Arabidopsis thaliana: one gene and its partners. The protein of the gene in region 4 interacts with the protein of the main gene of each other region in a pairwise test. Each region holds a gene or a part of one and is shown on either strand. Other genes may lie near its edges. The genes, in order: MEE8, BEE1, PAR1 and RHD6.

Region 1 (4,243 bases), about 16 Mb from region 4:
TTTGTTTAAAATGTGATAATATCTAATAACTTATGAAATTTGAAGAATAAGTAACATGAAAAGATAAATATCATATTAACAAATAATAAAAAAGATAATTATCAAGATAATCTATATTCTCAAAATTACAACTGATTTTGCTTTGTTTATAAATATAATTTTTTTAGAAAAAAAAACAAATTATTGGCCTCCCAATCTTTACCGAACACTTCATAAAACAAAATCTTTGTGGTATTTTTTTCATTTGTTTTGTTATTTGTAGTATTTTTCCAAAATATATAAAACAGAAATTTCCGTATTTTAAATACTTTCAATTAATCATAAACACATACAAATATTTAGATATAAGATCAATTCATCTAACACTTATCCTAATTTTTTAAATTGAATTACTTGTTTTAAGGATCATACACTGATACTAGGTCCGGTTGTTAACAGATTAATTTTTCATGAAGACCAAAACATATCATAAGGTTTTTATTAAAAGAAAATGGCGGACAGTAGGCGCCTAGTGTTCGAGTATTGACTGATCAAATCATTAACTTTTAATTTGCAAGATCCAGTAGTACTAAGTTCCGAACGGAATTTAATTAAAGATGGTCTCATGGCTAAAACATAACTCGTAACATCTAAACCAAAAACATACAATTTTATTATAACAAACAAACGAAGAACTGAGGCTAAAACATAACTCGTAATATTTAAACCAAAAACATACAATTTGATTATAACAAACCAACAAAGAACAACTGAGAAAATAAGAAAACTTAGCTAATCGAAACTTTTATCAAGTATCTATATAATACAAAACGGCACCAGCTTCAGTAAACAGTCTCCAGTCGTCACATATTCCCTGCGAACCCTTGTAATGCTGGAAATGAAGAGAAATTTAAAAACCAGAAAGATAAATAATCTTTAACGAACAGATCAGAGTATGGCCATAAAAAAAAATTACCTCCGAAAAGAACTGCAAGGCGCAAGTTGTTCGTGTACTCGATAACGCAATCAAGGATGGCGTTGATATCAGACTGTAAGATTATACGGAAAAAAAAAACATTAACAAAACTAACATTTCCCAAGAAAAAAAAATCAGTTAACAAAGGAAGCAGTTGTGAACCTGTGGGCAGTTGGGTGTAATTTCCTTAAGTGTTTCTAGTTGCCTTCTTATACGTTCCCGCCGTTTCTTCTAAGGTATCCAAAGAAGAGAAAAGAGTAAATCAAGAGTTTCTTGGGGAAGACGTATCATAACAATACAACTATTATTGGTTACCTTCTTCAACAAGGTATCATGATCAGATTTGTCTGAAGATTTAATCACGCACTGTGTCTTAACTCGCTTCTTCTTTCCTTCTCTCCTCGACTCAGCTGACCTCTTTTGCCCTACTTTCTCTACACCTTTTTCGTTGTTGATCCTACGCAAGTCACTATTCGCCTCTGGATTAGTGAGCGAGTATAGTATCTCAAACCATTGCCGAAGAAATACTTCGTCCTTGTTCATTCTTTTGATAGTTTTAAGTGATTCTTTACTGATAAGTTTGGCTGATTTGAGTTTAACGCAGACATGCTTCAAGGGTACTTATACAGGGAGAAAAGGATATATATGTAAACTACTCATGACGAGAAACAACAACGTTTGCCGCTCAAAAAGCTACTCTTCGTCACTAAGTTACTAATTCTTTAAATAAAATTACATTTATGTAAGGTGGACATCTAAGGTTCATAGATATAGCCAAGAAATGTAACGTGTCCATTTTTGACCTAAGTCTACGGTTTAAAAAATTAGAGATTTTGGAATGCAGGATATATACACACATAATACGACAATATTAGGACCTTACGAAGTCACGAGGCTCTTGTAATCGTTTACTCAGAACTCCACATGCATTAGGAGTACTCTACGTCGTACCTTTAATACAAATATTTAAATATTTTCGAGAATGATCTAATTAATCTAGTGATGTAAGTTACAATATTTCTGAATGGTACCTTCCGGTTTAGAGAGAACCTTGAGTTGCTAAGGGAGATATCCGGTTATAAAACGGTTCATGCGGCAACCTTGTTTATCATGCGGCAACCTTGTTTGTCATGCGGCATGATCTTTGTCAGCATTCAGCATGTATGTTGGGATTTAGACTTTCTAAAATCTTATCTAGCACTAAAGTTTTGACATCAGCCTTATTTGTCTATATGTATGGGTGACATGGTAATAATTTCTTTAACTAAATCTCTGGGATGATTTTTTAAATTAATTTGTAGTTTCTTTAAGAAGTTACACAACATGAGGTTATAACAATTTTACGTGACATATTTATAACTCACAAATGAACTATTTTTTGTTTTTTATATCTCAGGTGATCGTAAATGCTTTATAATCTCGGGATATGGAAAACAATGTTAAATTGAGCTATTTTGTTTTTGAAATATGAAAATTCATAGTTTAAAATTTACACAATCGATATAATATTCTACAGATTGAGAAATTTATTACCCGTATATAATGATAAGTAAGATTGATTTCAAGAACTTTTGGATCATGAGTCCCTCTATTTTGTTAGTCTTAGTTTAGGACTCTTCAGATTCAAAGTTTTATATATTAAAAAAGTAAATAGTTTCTAAACATGAGTGTTATATCATCGATCCAAACAATTGGTTTTGACAACGTTGCACTATTTAGGTAAAATATGCATCCATGGAAACCAAGATTAATAAACATGATGTTTCGAAAATATTAAAGAAAACTGCAATAGAGAAAGAAAAAAGAAAAAAAACACAAAGACCAAGTGAGATCATGTTATTGCGTAATACATGTGGATTGCGTAGTTTGGTAATGATGTTAGATAGTCTATGCGCTCCAGTGCTCCACAGCAACGGCTAACTTCTCGAACACACGCTCCTATTTTCAACGTGCCAAAGTTAGAGCCTAGCTTTGATTATCTTTTCTGGTCTATACTCATATTTTGCTGCTCCATGTATCCACCATCTCTTTTACTGGGGCACACTATATATATGTAAAGTGCTTTTACTGATAAAAAATAGTAAACAAAATGATATTTTAATCTTTTTACGTTCTCGTAGTATTCTTTTGTCCAGTCTAATTTACAAAGACTGAGAACATTCATTCTTCACTTAATATTATATAGTGTTGGTGCCTTGGTGGTATGGATGATTGATATGCTGAGAAAGCAAAGCATAAAACATAGGTCCAGGCATGTCTGTTCAATGTATGATATCTCTTTTAGCAACACTTTTCTTCTATCCTATCGGAACTGCAATTACTTTTTTGGTGTCATTCTCATTCATGTGCTTTATTTTATAGGAAATTTTAATTATTTGAAAGAAGTTTCTATTATTGGCTGTTAGTAAAACCTCTAAAATTAATCTCACTACTATGAATCAGCATCTATAACTTCATAGTATATCACCACCACAACTATGTTTTTTTTGTTAAATCCCAAACTGTTATTAAATGTGAAAGATCTTTAATCAAATACATATAGACAATCTCCATTTGTATAACCTTATGTTTATTTCCTTTTAGTTAATTAGCTTGAACTAAGTTTCACAAATTACATTTACATCTACACATTCACATGCACATACATTGAATATCAACTAATTTTAAAACTGATTAGTTAGTATACGTTCGGAGTAGCTAGACAACTATAGACATCATGATTCACATTTTTCAATAAATTGATTACTTGATGATACAAATGTGTGTGTTAACGGCTGGAAAACATACAAAGAGGGACATCATAGTTCATAAAGGTGTTCCCTTTATATATAGTTATACATAGAATGTGGGATAATCATGGAGCCGTACTAATCACTCTATTATTTTCTTTACAAAATAAAGTAGAAGTAGGGGTATTACTTTTTCTACTCCAGCTTACTCTTGTCTACTGCAACTATTATTCATTCGACTGGAACCATTAGCTCATACATATCTTGTATACAATTACTTAAAAATTTGTATTGTAAATGATAATCATAAATATACATTTTTGTTTGGTAATTATAATCATATTAAATATAGTTAATTGTTAAAGGTCGGTTAGTTTGTCTCATTCCTTTTGAAGTATGAAAATCACAAATTTTCATTAAGAGAAAACGAAAAATAACAAATAAAACAGCTTCTTTTAATATTAAAGTTTTTTTCTTGAAAAATTGTAATAATAATATGTGAGCTAAAAGTATATAAAAATTGGCATAAGTGCTCTTTCGTTATGATAAAGAAAGTGCA
Region 2 (5,935 bases), about 18 Mb from region 4:
CCTTATGAATGCCATGAGATGCATGCATCTTTTTCGTCTTTCTTTCTATTAATTTTTTGGCTCTTGAAGTAGTTATTAACAAGTTTGCATTTTAGCTCTCGGAATTTTTTTCTTTTGTTAAGAAGTTTAATTCCTGCATGAACCTATGTATAAACATATCTATCATGTATTAATATTATATTCGAAATATTTTTGTAAGGATTTTATCATAAGCCATCTACACCATACTAATCTCGGGTAAATTACGTAATACCTGCATTACAAAGATAAAACTTAAACCTCGGCTACGACCTGCCATGCATATGGAATGAGTACTAGCTAGTGTCCAAAATGTCATAAAAAAAATTATAATAAAAAAAAAAAATCAGAAATAAAGAAACATGTATAGAGAGAATAACAGAAAGACAAAAGTGTATTATTATACCCTCACTTTCTTTATATATACGATCATACAAATATCTGAATTGTTCTATCAATCATAAAGATTATGAATAGGCAACATCCGTAAGATCCTGTGAAGTGAACCGTCGCTATTAGAATTATTTTTGAAAAAAATATGAAATATATAAGAGATATTCATATATGGATAATAAGAGAGACCACAAAAGAGGAAGGAAGTCTCAAGAGATTGGTTGTTCGTCTGTAAAACACGTCCATAGGCTTCGCATCACAATTTACTATTTTGTCTCTGTTTTTGGTTTGGGAGACACACATCATTGTCTTTGGAAAGCTACAGAAGTGAAGGGTGTTTTTGTTAATTTACACCGACAAAGTCTCTTTGGTTCCATAACTCCTCTTCGTTACCAAACCTTGCGCAACTTGCCTCTTCCAGTTTATCGTATATGTAACTATGCCTTTCTCGCTGAAAAAGGAAAATGTTTTTAGTAACCAAAAGCAAATTACATATGAATGGAAATATAATCCCTTAACAAGAACATATCGTTTTATATTATAAACTAATCTTCATTTTTAGTAATTCTATAGCCGAAGCCGTTTTTAACCCACTTTACGTAGGAAAGTGAAGTGGAACTCTAGACATCAAAAGCACATGCATGTCTGTAATCAGACTAAGAACTCTCGACCCTAAAATTAATAAACTAAAATCAATATTTAAACCGACTGGTAACGCTCATTTCTTTTTGTTATAAAGACTAATCACATTTCATTGAAGATTTGGTAATATATACAATTTACAATTGATTTCTCTCTTCCCATCATCGTCAATTCACTCATCAACACTTTGACATATGAGCTAATTCATCCATGATTTATAACTTCATTTGCAGAAACAAAATAAAAAAATTCTGTTGAATTTTATTTCTGATCATTTCATAACTTAAGAGGACAATTACATAAGAGGAAAAGGAAAAAGGTGCCAAGCAAACGAAATAGCAAAGCGAAAAGGGAGAGGACAACTGAGATATTTACATGACAATTATAAGTCACCAATAAATTTATATCGTCGAAATTACAAGTATACAGATTACAAATATTATCCCAAGTTGGGTCGTATATATGACATATCGCATCCAAATAAATAGAAGAATAATTTCGAAAACAATAAAAAAGAAGGAAAAGAGAAAAGAGAAAACAAAAGTCAAAGGGACCATGTTGATAAATGGAAGACAGGACTCCCATCTCTTGTTTGTCTCCCCATCTCCACTGTCTCACGTGCCTTTGCTCTCTGCCAATTGTATTCCATTCATATTATTCAATACTAATAGAAATACTTTATCACGTTAAAATAAAGTAATTGTCATAACAACAACTAGTTAGACTTAAACCATGCAAATATAATGCCAAAAAAAAAGAGACTACTTAAACCAATAAACCATACAAGATCAATTATGCAAAGGCTGGATTTGACCTGTCGAACATATTTTAATTGCGGGTCATATAGTCCGCGTGATCATATATTATAGTCTAATAAGATTGAATCTAAACTACAAACACTTGTATTTTTGAATAAATCTTTGTAGAACCGACTCGATCAAAACATACCGGACCCATTACAACATCTCTACCAGACTACCACTAATTAATTATATATATGCTTATCTTAAGAATTGAAAAACATTATTAGAATGTTCTAGTACCTGCATGGAATCAACTGCATCTGTCTCTGAGTTAAAGTCATAAAACGAACTTGCTGCAGTGAGTTTCATCGAGAGGAACTGAAATCCACAAAAAACATGAAACAAAATTGAGTAATTTATAAAATTAAAGCTTGTGTTTTGGAAGTTTTTTAAAGTGTGTGGTAAGATTTTCGTTTTTTTTTTGTAATTTTCGAATATCTAAGATTTGCCGTGTTTCGGAAAGTACTACTAAAGTAGGTATTTACCGAACCTCCCATCTCATGAAACCTCCATTTTCTAGTTTTTTTTTTCTTTCTCCAAAATACAAGAAGACAAAGTCTTATTGATATATGTAGTTTATGATTACAACTTAAATTATTTACCTCGACTTGATTCTGTAGAGACTGGACATAATTAATTATCTCGTCAAGCATCGTAGCCATTCCCATAGCCTGCACCCACCAAACATACACTTTCATTATAAGAAGTAAGCACCACTAAATCAATAGAAAATCACATCACTTTTTCTACAATTTTTTTTCTGAGTTCTTTGTAAACAAAAAAAACAAAAAAAAATCCGAAGAACAATTTTCGGAAAATATTATGAGCGGTATCAAAGAAAAAAGCTAAAATCACACTCATGCATGTTAAAAATACTTTTGGATACATATGTTCTTGTTTAACTAAAAGTATCACTTTTATCATAAAATGCTTAAATTTGATTCAAGTATAATTAGTGACAATTAATGCCGATGATGACCTTTTCATATGCTATTTATTGTTTAATGGCCATTAGTTTCTATTTTGATTACAAATATATTAAAAAAGAAGTAATGAAAAGTTGAAAATGTTAAACTATTATATTTATCTTTGCATTATTACCTTATAACATCCGGGCACCATATCTTGCAAGCATCTTAATCTCTCGTTTATTTTCCCTCGCCGAACCTGAAATTTTGATATAGAGTGTAGACATGTATATAAATTTAAATGAATACACCACGTTTATAAAAAAAATGAATTTATATAGACAATTTAAGCAATTTTACCCGTTCTGCTAAGCTGTGGCTATCAGTGGCTTGGCCTCTTCTGGCTCTCACATGAACAACTTCTCTCTCTTTCTCGTCTTCTTCTTCCTTCTTCTTCTTCAACCTCTTACCTCTTCTCAAAGAACCCTAGATATTTTTTAGACAATAAAAGTAATTATTTTAAACGAACTTTTTAATGATAAGTTATGAAAATGATAAGATAATTAGCTAGGGTTTCGAGATCAATTACTGTTTCAGTGGCAATAACATTCGTATTATCGGAGACGCCGCTAGTCTCTGATGAAGACAAAGTAGGTAACAAAGCTTTTCTCTTCTTGGTCTCATCGACGATGTTGTGATCACTATGGAGGAAACTTGAAGTTGAAGAGAAATTGTTACTACTGTCTGGAGAGTTTCCGGGAAAGTGAAGTAATTGTTGTTGATGATGATGAAGGAAGAGCGATTCGAGAGAAGTAGAGGAAGGATGAAATGTTTGAAAATGAAGGTTACTGTTGTTGTTGTTTAGATCTGCAGCTTGAGTTATGGAAGAATATATATCCATGGCTATTGTCTGAAAATCAGAAGAAAGATTCTCGAAATTTGCCATAATATAATGAATTGAGATATGATCTTCTTGACACTTTTTTTTTTTTTTTTTTCTGACAACTTCTTTAGACTGGTTGATACAAAACTTGAGACTTTTATATTGTTCGATTGGATTTTTTTATTAATTTAATTTATGATTTTAGAAAAAGAAATGTGGAGAAAATTAAGAAAGAAAAAGAGAGAAATAAAGGGAGAGCCACGTGGGCAAGTGAACGTTCTGGGATTTGTGTGTCGGGGAGATATGTCCAAACAAGGAAAAGTAGGACCAATGTTTGGTCGTGGGTTCCATTAGGCTTTCTCTGTTTGCAAGGGGGAAGAACATTTCTAGTCAGTTTGGTGTGAGGTTAAGAACTAGTGGTCTATCTTTAAATTTATTATTAATATTGGGAAGAAAATATTGAAATGGATGTAGCTAGTCAAACTAAGTTGATATCAAAACTTGTTTTAATGAAAACATCCATTAATGTTTTGCATGGAGGGTTTTTTATGTAGGTGTATAGGGTAAGAGATCACATCCATTTGCCAACTTAATTATAACTTCCAAATGGCCAATGCCAATTAATCGACAAAAATACTATAAATATGTGTATGTATAAAAATATAGGGAGATAAACGAAAGTATATATGAAGGTTCTTTTACATAAGTTGACGCCAATTTATGAATCTTTAGTTAAAGTTTAAGTTACCAAATTATTTATATTGGTGAAGACAAATTTTCACTTTAATCGGCATACTAGAGATTTCCTTTGTTTGTCCTTGTGATGATCAAACACATTGAGTTTTAGGAAAGAGTTTTTTTTTTTTTTTTTTTTTCTTCCTTTTAGGAAAGAGTTAGGTTGCAACAAATGTCAATGTTTAGTTGGGCCATTACTATAGATTATCTATTATGTATGGTGGAGGGATTTGATTCACATGCAATTTCATTCATTCAAGACAACTTACTCTTTAACTTGTTCATTAATAGAAGTAGTAAAGCATCCATGCCCAAATTGGTGTGCTTTAATTAGGAAATTTTGGAAACAGAAGTTTTTTTTTTTTTTCTCTGAAAGTGTCTTTCATTAAAACTTCATAGATGCAGGTCTTACATTGTGATTGCAGCAGTGGACTTTCCACTTACATTGGAAACAGAAGATAAGCTCAATATACATATATATATTCTTCTGACGTTAAATTGGTGGATAGTCATCGCCGTCGCTGAGCTGGCGTTACTTAATTACCATCATTATTTTGATGTCTCAAATATTTTTACCTTTTCCGTAAAAAAATAAAATTAACCACTAATAAAAAAATAGTTTCAGTTGGCAGCAAATAGCAATACAAAATTGCTGATTTAGTCCGGTCAGGCCCAATCACGAAGTTTTGTATGTTACGGTCCCTCTCTAGGTGGAATCGGAACAAGATCATCATTATATACATTCCCAAAAATATCATCTAATACAGAACACGAACACCATTCTCTAACTGTTAACTGACAATTTTAAACATACAAATAATAAACACATACAATGTTAGTGGCCGTGCGACTAATTTTACTTACTGTCCCATTTCACAATGACACTATCTGGAGACTGTGCAACCAACGGTCCACTCTTGTTCACATCTACAACATCCATTTCCGAACCAAATCCATTGTTCTGTATCCTCGTCAACGTATCCTGCACGTGCGACATACATGGCCTAAGATCTTTATCCGACTGCAAGCATTGGAACGCCAGCTCAGCGACAGCGATCACCGTCTGTCTCACTCTTGTATCCGTGTCAAACCCAAGTGACGGATCCACCATGTCGCGGAGCTCGTGGTTCTGGATTTTAACGACTGCCATGTTCGAGAGGTTGATCTCTTGGCGCGGTCTTGTGATGTCGACTGCTGGAAGTGAAGAGATAAGCTCCATTAACACTACCGCAAAGCTGTACACGTCGCTTTTGTTTGAGAGTTGATAGCATAAGTGGTAATCCGGGTCGACATATCCCGGAGTTCCTTGTGGAGCGGTAGATACGTGCGTTTTATCCATAGGAAACAGTCTAGAGAGTCCAAAATCCGCAACCTAAAATGTCGAAAACAGTAAAAAAAACACAGAAAGAAGTTAAGATTATGATCCGATAAAATCCCACCAGATTGAGTAATAACCAGTGTGAGTTACTGACCTTGACATTGAAGTTTTGGTCGAGAAGGATGTTGTTGGATTTAACATCACGGTGGATGATCTTGGAGGCGTGGAGATACTT
Region 3 (4,485 bases), on a different chromosome or scaffold from region 4:
AGTAAATCTTTCCATAACCATCGCAAGCAACATCCTTTGTAGCTCTGACTCCATTAGTAGGCTCCAAGATCCTCTCGTTCAACAAAGCTAGCGTTTTCTTAGCTTCTTCAACCTTCTTCAATTTCTTCTCCATTCACTCAAAGCTTCCTCTCAGACTTGCAATTCCCCTAAACCTCTTCTCAATATCACTTCTCACTTTCGTCAAACTCTCTACTTCCTTCTCATAACTCTCAAAGCTATCACCTTTCTCCATTAACCATTTCTTCAATTCAGCCACCTCTGTCACCGTCTCATCTCGCCGCTCAACGCAGTGATAAGATCATCCTGAATACTCACTCTCAAGCTCCACAGCTCCCGTCGATATAGATTCTAAAACCTTCTTCTCTTCTTCTATTTGCTTCATCTCAATCTCCATCTCTCCACACCTCTGCTTCATCTCCACTTCCAGACTTCTCATCTCCTCAATCTCTCTCAGTAATCTCACCCTCCTCCTTCAATTCCAGATTATCCCGTGTCAATTCTTGCTTCTTCTTCTCCAATTCCTTGAAATAGAATTCTATTTCAATTCACCAGAAAAAAATGATTTAGGGTTTTAAGTTTTAACTTTTAGTGAAGAAGTCGTTCCGAGGGTAGTTGACACTTGACAATATTGCCGCGAATCCTTTTTTGTACGGACCTCTTAGTGTTTAATGGGTTCAGGCCCAGTTATGTTAAGCCCAATTATAACATAACTAAGGCAATCAAAAAACATGTGGAATCGTAATCTTTTAGGCTTTTAGCCCATACAGGATGTGATTAGTTATAATCTATCAATGGTTTTTATTTTAAATTTTGGTTTGGTAAAGGATGTTGAAGTTAACATTATTGATTACAACTTCGTACTATACGATGTTCAACCTTAAATTCATCTTTGTAATGTAATTTGGATAGAGAGTAGATAGGGTTGGTAAGAAAATTATATCTTCCCCGACTTTCCGCTATGTGTGGAGTAAATAGTTCCATAGAGTTCGATATAGCTGCATTGTTGTGGGTCAGAAATTACGTTATAATGAATACTAAAACTGATATTGTTTTTTTTCTAGCGGCAAATGTGTTTAAATTTCTGTGTAGATGCTAGCTCTAGTACTTACACGACTAAAAAGATTTGTCTTGTATATGTATGTACAAGGAATATACATGAACTCTATTGTTGGACCACGGGAACTCAAATCTAGTAAGTTCATCATAAGCTTAAATAAATATCGACCGACTTTGGAAATCTTTGTTATAATAAAGCATGTGAAATGAGCTCATCCAGATTTAAAAATGGGCCACGTAACATTAACTTTCTCAATATCATTAATGTCAAATCTCATATGCAAGTGAAACCTCGTGATCCAATTTAATATCTATACTATATGGCGTCCTACTAAAATAAGTTATATAACTACATTAATTAATGCTAATTTTCGTTAATGAACACTTCTCATAACCGTGAAACGGCTTAATAAATAAATCAGAACATTAAAATTAAAGATTATACTCCTACTAAAGAAAAAAAAAATTCGAAGAAAAAAATGTTGAGTCTCTTTCCTCATATATCAAAGCTAAAATCCCATGTTATAAAAAAGGAAATAAAAGATTTGAAAAAAAAAAACGTTTTTTTTTGTTTTTAGGAATCGAAGAAAGAAGAGCAGTCTTGGTGTGATAATCTTCAACCTCCGAACTTCATGTCTTCTTGATCTATGCGTTGAAGAAACGAAGTAAGGACTTTAATGGTTTTGATCTGACATTGTAGAGACAGAATGTAACCAGCTGTCTCTTCGAAGAGCGCGTCCACACCAAGCGCCGCTCCTCCGGGGATAATCCTCTGCAACGCCTCAATCTTTTCCTTGACCTCATCTTCTTCTTCTTCTGCTTCTTCTCGGTCTTCACGTACGCTTGCGTTAGTCTCTGACAATCTCCGTTTGGTTCTGCGCTCGAAACCAGCGGCGCGTGATTTCACGGTGGCTGAGCATGACGGTGACAGAGAGCGTCTCGTGGCGTCGGGAGTGGCTAGAGTTTCTTCCATTGAAAGAAAGAGAGAGATGAATGATGAGTCTGAGAGAATAATGAACAAGTAAGGAATGTGGATATGTGTAACTGTGTGTGTTATATATATATATATGAGTGATGATGGATTTAGTAGACAAAAATGTTGAAATGTGGTCGGTTCAACCTGATTTTATTTTGGTTTGTTGCGAGTTTAGAGACAATACTCTATCGGTTTGATTTGGTTTGCTATGCTTTATGTTACATTGTTTGCTTACATTAGTGAAAGGTTCGGTTATGAACGAATTTTGGTTTGGTTTGTCTATAAAAAACGATGTAAAAATTGAAACGATATAAAATAAATTCTACATTTAGAAATTGGGAAATGGTTAAATGAGCGGTATTGCCATCAAAGCTGGGTCCAGTTGTGCGTTATTTTTAATTTTATTATCCTCGTGTTTCGGATTGTGGAGATTTATTTAATTATCTCTTACTTTGGTTGCTTCCACAGATTTGGATCTTTAGAAGAAGAGCTTTCACGCGCCATGTCGACTGGTTTAGACTTTAGTGGACTCATCACTCACTTAAGTGGATCAACCTCGCATCTAGATTGGATTTTTTTGTTTGTTTGATAAATGAGATTTGGCACGTTAAATTTGTTTGTTTAAGAGCTAGACGTTTGACATAGTAATTAACTAATTATACAACAATGCTTTATTATTGTATTAGGATATGCGTTGTTAATACAAGCCGGATTACTTTTAGCAAGTGTCTCATTTATTTATCAAGCCGGATTACTTGCTAAAATATTATTCGAACTTTAATTTAAACTCTAAATGGTTTGTGATCTGGTTTAGCCATAAATGTAATAGCTGCTATACGTTGTTTTGCATAGTTACCAGTCTTATTTTCTACAACAAGAATAAAGAGTATAAACTATTTTATGTGAGCTTAAATTTCCAAAAGAAAAATTCAAGTAGACGACGACAAACCCTATAGTTATGCACTTATGCTTATAGGCCATTCGGGTGGTGCCTGGTAATGGACTAATGCCTGATGGTATAAGAGTAAGTTTTGTCGTAATTACGTAGTACGGACGAAATGAAAACGACCACGCGCGTGGAGATAAGGAAGGAAAAGAAGAAGGATACAGTGAGACACTACTTGCATGGGAACAAGGAAGAGAGAGGAGAGGACATGTGCGGGTCACATGAATATCTCCATCTTCAAAGCCCCATTCCCATGTGCTTCCTCCTCTCTATACATTATGTACAGACTGTAATATAGTATTATTATTAGATGGATGAGATCAAATAGATCCTCTAAGAGATAGTGAACTTGTTCGTACAATTGAGGACCTAATCCTACTAAGATCCACATGATATCTATCGGGCATGGTGGCCACGTGTCAACCCTTTTTTGGGTCCCCCCCACCTCAGTGACCTCCTAAATCTGTCCTTCATTTTTTTTTTGTCAACTCCTTTTTCTTATTAAAAGAAACTCCAATTAACATCCCATATTTCTTACCACGTAAAAACAACAATCTCAATATATCTATAATGTTAGAGAAATGGCCACTATATAACAAGAAGAAAGCCAAGGAAGTTTAGTGTTATTGGATTCGAATATAGTGTTACATGTTTCTAGCTAGAGATCTTTATAATATACATCTTTTATACATAAAACCGTTATAGTAAATCTTACTTAATGTTGGTTCCATAAATGAGCCCTCCGGTGCATTTCTTTTGTCAACTATATGATATAAAAACTAGATAAAGACTTAATAAAAAATAATTGCATTAAAAAAAAACAATTGCATTTTTGTAGGTCTTTAATCCAAGATTGCAAATTAACCTAAATCTACTCAAGAAAAAAAATTTAGTAAAGAATAATGATTGACATCTAATTAAAAGAAATAATGTATGGTCTTAATTAAGACAAAGATCAGGAACAGAATAACACATTTCTTTTACGTCTAGGGTTTTTAGTAATACTAAAAATTGTTAAGATGTTGTTTTAGAAGAAGAAGAAGATGGAAGAGAGAAATAAAGAAAGAGATGATGTTTCCAAAGAGGGGACGAAGGAGGGTTTGGTTTCTCGGGATTGAGATTTACAAAAATCGGGTGCCTTTCGCATTTCACCATCTACCAAACTGACACTCTCCCCAATTCTAGTATCTATTTATTTATGTATTTGCACTTACATTAAATATGTTACAAAAATAACACACTCGAAATTTAATTTTAGCTTTTAGCCAGCTTTCACATTCGTCGTCTTGGAATAATCAATTCTATGTCCTTTTGTATCTTGTTCGTTGTTTCTATTTTTTCCAAAATAACTTTTATTTAATGACGAAAACCTAAATATTTATATCTAGGAGGAGTTTGAGATGATTCCCTTTCACTATTTATTTTTGTTGCCACAAAAATAAAAGAGAAGAGTTTGGTTAAAGACAAGACAGTATATGTTTTTTTA
Region 4 (5,077 bases):
ATAAAGACGGATTGTACAAAACATAAATTAGTATCGAACTAGTTTGAATTTTATTTCTACCAAAAAAAAAAAGGTTTTAGCATGTTTTGGTCTCTAAACCCAAAGAATGGGCCGAATGTCCAAAACTTCAACAAAAAAAAAAGATTATATACAAAGATATTAACGAAGATAAAATAAATAAAACAAGTTAGCCTAAAACAACTATATTATGGAGTATATTACTTATAAGTCGACGTGTCGGCTAAAGAAATGAAAGTAAGAAGCAGGTTCTTAGGAAAAATGAATCATCGAAACAAAATAAACAATGAAAATGAATCATCGAAAGAATTGATATATATTAGAATCGATCATATATATGGGAATCAAAAAGACGTGTAGATTAGCGGAAGATACGGCGATGATTTTGCTTCTATGTTTTTCGCTTCTCTTAATTAATAAACTATTTTTGGGGTTATAAAGTCTCAGTCCATTAATTTCACCTTACTGCCAGCTAACAATCCCGATGAATTACTCATAAATATTGTAATACAACAATTACTCATAAATATTGTAATACAACACTTTAATTTACGTTCATTCATTTTTTTTATCACTCCAAAAAGATAATGATGTATTTGATATGCGATCCATATTTTTCCCCGACGTCAAGATTTTTTCTATGCCATTTTTTAAAATGAGTTCTTATTATTTACATTGTTGATCATGTGGTTTTACAGTGCCACATTAGTTGCTAAAATTATATACAATACAAATAACTTATATAATTTTTCCTCACCAGTATTAGTGGTCTATGTTTGGAGTATTTTTTATATAACATATATGGTACCGACTCGATTCAATTGATTAAATACCATAAAAGATAATTCTGTCTATAGACAATCTTTTACAATATTCTTTTTTTAAAAAAAAAAATACCTTAATTTGGGTTCATTTGAGTTTAACAAATTAAAAGTGAAAAAGAACTAATGAAAACTCAGTATTCTTACTACAATTTTCAATAAATATCGAAATTTATAATTAATTAATACTTAATTTACATTTTTCATATTTATATTTATCCATTCAGTTAATTGAAAATTAAAAATAAAATAATAATGTGAATATGTTTTATTGGTTAAATAAAAATGTAGTAGATTTTACGATATATTAAACATACAACTTTTTTTTGGTTAAGAACTATTGTATAGAGTAAGGTTTCAAATAATAACAATGGAACAAATTTTTTGTCCAAAAAAAAAAAAAATGGAACAAATTTAACTGTGAGAAAATAGTGGGATAGAAGCAAATAATGGAACCAGTGCAGTTAGTACGAAATGAAAGAATATGTGGAAGTATCATAAATATGTAAAATTTAAAAGTTAGAATACCAAAATTTTAGCTATCTTTTTAAAGAGGATCTAAAAAGTATCAGAAAACATGTAAGGTTGTGTTTATTAGAACTATTCATCTAGTAGAAAAGTGATTGTCATTATCTTCAAGTATCACATTAAAAAAAAAAAAAAAAATGTTGTGTAGTGTCTGTCGATGAACATCGGAGTAAAATGGATGTCATTATCTTGAAAGAACTAAGAAATATGAGTGTCCATAGGCAGAGTAACAAGTTGTTACTAACAACATTACAAGGAGACAATGACTACAAAAAAACAAAACAAATACAAGCATTTTTAGTAACCATACGTTTTAGGCATGCTAGTCCAATATTCCCAGTTAAGGAAATGTACAAAAAATAACATATGTCTAGCTAGAATTCTATGCATTCATAACTTCGAAGCTTCAAACTGATAAGAGTTTAAAAAATGACGTAAAATATTGAATTTGATCTAATGCCAGCTTCTTTTTCTAATCAGTTTAATCAAACTCAATAAATTAAAAAAAAATCTTAAGAATACGTCACTAGCTTAAATAAAATATTAGACATAAACCACTTATATAAACCTTTATCATAACATAACTACACAAACACATTGTCTCTCTTTGCTTACCAATAGACAACCTTAAAGCCACTTTTCGTCAACAAGACACACAAAAACCCTAAACAAAAAATCACTTATCAAACTTATTAGTGTCTAATGGCACTCGTTAATGACCATCCCAACGAGACCAATTACTTGTCAAAACAAAATTCCTCCTCTTCCGAAGATCTCTCCTCGCCGGGACTGGATCAGCCAGATGCAGCTTATGCCGGTGGAGGAGGAGGAGGAGGCTCGGCTTCGAGCAGTAGCACGATGAATTCAGATCATCAACAACATCAGGGGTTTGTATTTTACCCATCCGGTGAAGATCATCACAACTCTTTGATGGATTTCAACGGATCATCATTTCTTAACTTTGATCATCACGAGAGCTTTCCTCCTCCAGCCATAAGCTGTGGTGGTAGTAGCGGTGGGGGCGGCTTCTCCTTCTTGGAGGGCAACAACATGAGCTACGGCTTCACAAACTGGAATCATCAACATCATATGGATATTATTAGCCCTAGATCCACCGAAACTCCCCAAGGCCAGAAAGACTGGTTATATTCTGATTCAACTGTTGTAACCACTGGTTCTAGAAACGAGTCTCTTTCGCCTAAATCCGCTGGAAACAAACGTTCTCACACGGTAATTACAAACAACAAAGTCTTGGTGAATATTTTTCATATAAGATGTCAATGAAAGATCGTTGATATATACTACTATCAATTTGAATTATGGATATATAGGGAGAGAGCACTCAACCGTCGAAGAAACTGAGTAGCGGTGTGACCGGAAAGACCAAGCCTAAGCCAACAACTTCACCTAAAGATCCACAAAGCCTAGCAGCCAAGGTTTGCTTTCTTGACATTAATTTACATTCATTAAAATAAAACTCAATCTCTCAACACATATTTACATATGTTTTATTTTGTTCAGAATCGAAGAGAAAGGATAAGTGAACGTCTCAAGATATTGCAAGAACTTGTTCCCAATGGCACCAAGGTACACATCCATATAACCATTTATGACAGATTTATTATATTACTTATTCTCATGATAATAATATTTGTTATGTTTCACAGGTTGATTTGGTGACAATGCTTGAAAAGGCTATTAGTTATGTCAAGTTCCTTCAAGTACAAGTTAAGGTATATTAGTTATGACAAACATCCCTCAAATTAATTTTCAGGATTGATTTAATTACCATATTTATCGAATTATTACGTAACACGTATTGATATAATCTATTGTTTGTTAGGTATTAGCGACCGATGAGTTTTGGCCGGCTCAAGGAGGAAAAGCTCCTGACATTTCTCAAGTTAAAGACGCCATTGATGCCATTCTCTCCTCATCACAACGAGACAGGAATTCGAATCTGATCACCAATTAATGAAGGGTTTTATCATTAATAAATCAGTTTATCAAACATTAATTACGTACGTTGTAATAATATCGGGGGAAACAATGATTCTCTCGATTATAAATCCCACGTAAATTTTGAAATATGATCCAAAGAGAAGACAATCGAGATTATGTAACGTTAGATTATGTGAAAATCGAGAAGTTCTTAATGCATCTATAACGAAGAGAAGACAAGAGACATTGAATTCACCGATGATCAGTCTGATATGGGTCCACACGGGGATGGAATCTTTAACTAGTAAATAAGTGTTAAAAACATAAATATGTTTTTCAATTTCTTTTTCTGTTTTAATTGTATTTTGTGTGTTTTAGTCTACGGAATACAGATCTTTTATTTAAACTCCAAGAAATGAGTAATAAAATTCTTCACTTTTGTTTTTTCCTTGAGGTTTCAGTTTCAGAGAATCTATCTTTTTGTCATCTTTCTTTGTCTATTTGAGCTTGGCTTTATTAAAGCTAGCTCTTGAGCGACATGCTTATTTATTTAAAATTCGTCAAAAGTTTGTCACACATATTATAGGGTCTCTATATAGATTGCAATGCATAGTATTTTTTGAAAAAAAAGATAAACTATGAATTTCTATTACCAAAATAGACCATTTTTTTATTTATAATTGCTCTAGGACGACGAGTTCTTCTGTGCAAAACATTTTCACATTCTCTGTATGAATGATCAAAACATAATGTTAACCTAGTTTGCTTGGCTAAAACATTTTATGATATAATTTTGGTACACTAAAATATGTATTTTCGAAAATATAAACATTTTTATATGTAGGTAAATAAGTATTCAACCAAAAGTTGAGAAATCTTAAAATCAGTGATGAATAGCATATATTTTTTTTATCAATTAATTGTAGGATAACCATACACTGATACACATCAGCACCTTTATCGTATAAAATTATTTCTCAAATTAAGTATGAGATTATATTAATTGATTGGACGACATACCTAAGATCTCGATTTATCAGCCCATGTCAGCATGTGTCCTTTGGGAAAGATTAGGGATACGTGTTCTTATTAATTTATACATTGTTTTCATTTGAATTGATATTCAAATGTATGTCCAAAATTATTAAATTAATTAACTACATGATTAGCCACATGGATAATCCCACTTTAGGCGCTGTACTTGTATTTATGTACTTACGAGCTCCATCAAGTCAATAAGACAAACGAAGTTATTAAGAAGTCCAATAATCTATTTATTTTATAATCCATTACATGATTCCATATTTATCTTACTAGACTGGCATTATGTAAACAAATGAATGAATTGAAACGAAATATCAAAATTTCAATTCGATTTGTTTTCAGAAGTTTTGTAAAATATTAGTCTTATTGTATTATATTACACTTGAGTTTATTTATAGAAACAGAAAAAAATCAATTTTATTACCTTTTAAATGTTATTTTCTAAATCATTTACTTAAGTTAGGTTAAAATAAATGTATATGCACATGAAAGGAAAAACAATTGACAATTTGACATTAAAAATATAATTTTGAAAAGAAGTATTAACTTTGCCAAAAAGAAACTAAAAGAAGTATTAACTACATATAACCGTCAATTGTAGTCACTCACTGGTAATTGTAATTCGTTCCAAAACTTTAAGAATCATAAAACAAAGATATAAAACCTAAAATCATTCAAAAAATAATCCAAACCATCCCTAAATTATATTGGATTAGTTGTAATAA

What was found.
Region 1: the proteins of RHD6 (region 4) and MEE8 interact in a two-hybrid assay, tested with the Arabidopsis thaliana proteins (one large-scale study listed by BioGRID).
Region 2: the proteins of RHD6 (region 4) and BEE1 interact in a two-hybrid assay, tested with the Arabidopsis thaliana proteins (one large-scale study listed by BioGRID).
Region 3: the proteins of RHD6 (region 4) and PAR1 interact in a two-hybrid assay, tested with the Arabidopsis thaliana proteins (one large-scale study listed by BioGRID).

What each region holds. Positions count from the first base shown.
Region 1 is NC_003070.9:8,873,337-8,877,579, forward strand, and holds MEE8 (basic helix-loop-helix (bHLH) DNA-binding family protein), read right to left. Parts: upstream 1,499-4,243; coding exon 1,271-1,498; intron 1,184-1,270; coding exon 1,118-1,183; intron 1,029-1,117; coding exon 969-1,028; intron 872-968; coding exon 788-871; downstream 1-787. UniProt on the Arabidopsis thaliana protein: Required during early embryo development, for the endosperm formation.
Region 2 is NC_003070.9:6,329,239-6,335,173, reverse strand, and holds BEE1 (BR enhanced expression 1), read right to left. Parts: upstream 3,777-5,935; 5' UTR 3,711-3,776; coding exon 3,354-3,710; intron 3,251-3,353; coding exon 3,125-3,250; intron 3,024-3,124; coding exon 2,958-3,023; intron 2,528-2,957; coding exon 2,459-2,527; intron 2,175-2,458; coding exon 2,097-2,174; coding exon of another isoform or gene 2,055-2,096; exon of another isoform or gene 1,685-2,054; coding exon 1,598-1,684; 3' UTR 1,318-1,597; downstream 1-1,317. Other genes in the region: AT1G18390 (Serine/Threonine kinase family catalytic domain protein), read right to left, coding at 5,239-5,754, 5,855-5,935. UniProt on the Arabidopsis thaliana protein: Positive regulator of brassinosteroid signaling.
Region 3 is NC_003071.7:17,835,138-17,839,622, forward strand, and holds PAR1 (phy rapidly regulated 1), read right to left. Parts: upstream 2,482-4,485; 5' UTR 2,051-2,481; coding exon 1,694-2,050; 3' UTR 1,279-1,693; downstream 1-1,278. Other genes in the region: AT2G42865 (uncharacterized protein), read right to left, coding at 134-301, 377-457. UniProt on the Arabidopsis thaliana protein: Atypical bHLH transcription factor that acts as a negative regulator of a variety of shade avoidance syndrome (SAS) responses, including seedling elongation and photosynthetic pigment accumulation.
Region 4 is NC_003070.9:24,793,257-24,798,333, forward strand, and holds RHD6 (ROOT HAIR DEFECTIVE6), read left to right. Parts: upstream 1-1,957; 5' UTR 1,958-2,069; coding exon 2,070-2,597; intron 2,598-2,698; coding exon 2,699-2,803; intron 2,804-2,888; coding exon 2,889-2,954; intron 2,955-3,034; coding exon 3,035-3,100; intron 3,101-3,210; coding exon 3,211-3,342; 3' UTR 3,343-3,759; downstream 3,760-5,077. UniProt on the Arabidopsis thaliana protein: Transcription factor that is specifically required for the development of root hairs. Acts with RSL1 to positively regulate root hair development. Acts downstream of genes that regulate epidermal pattern formation, such as GL2.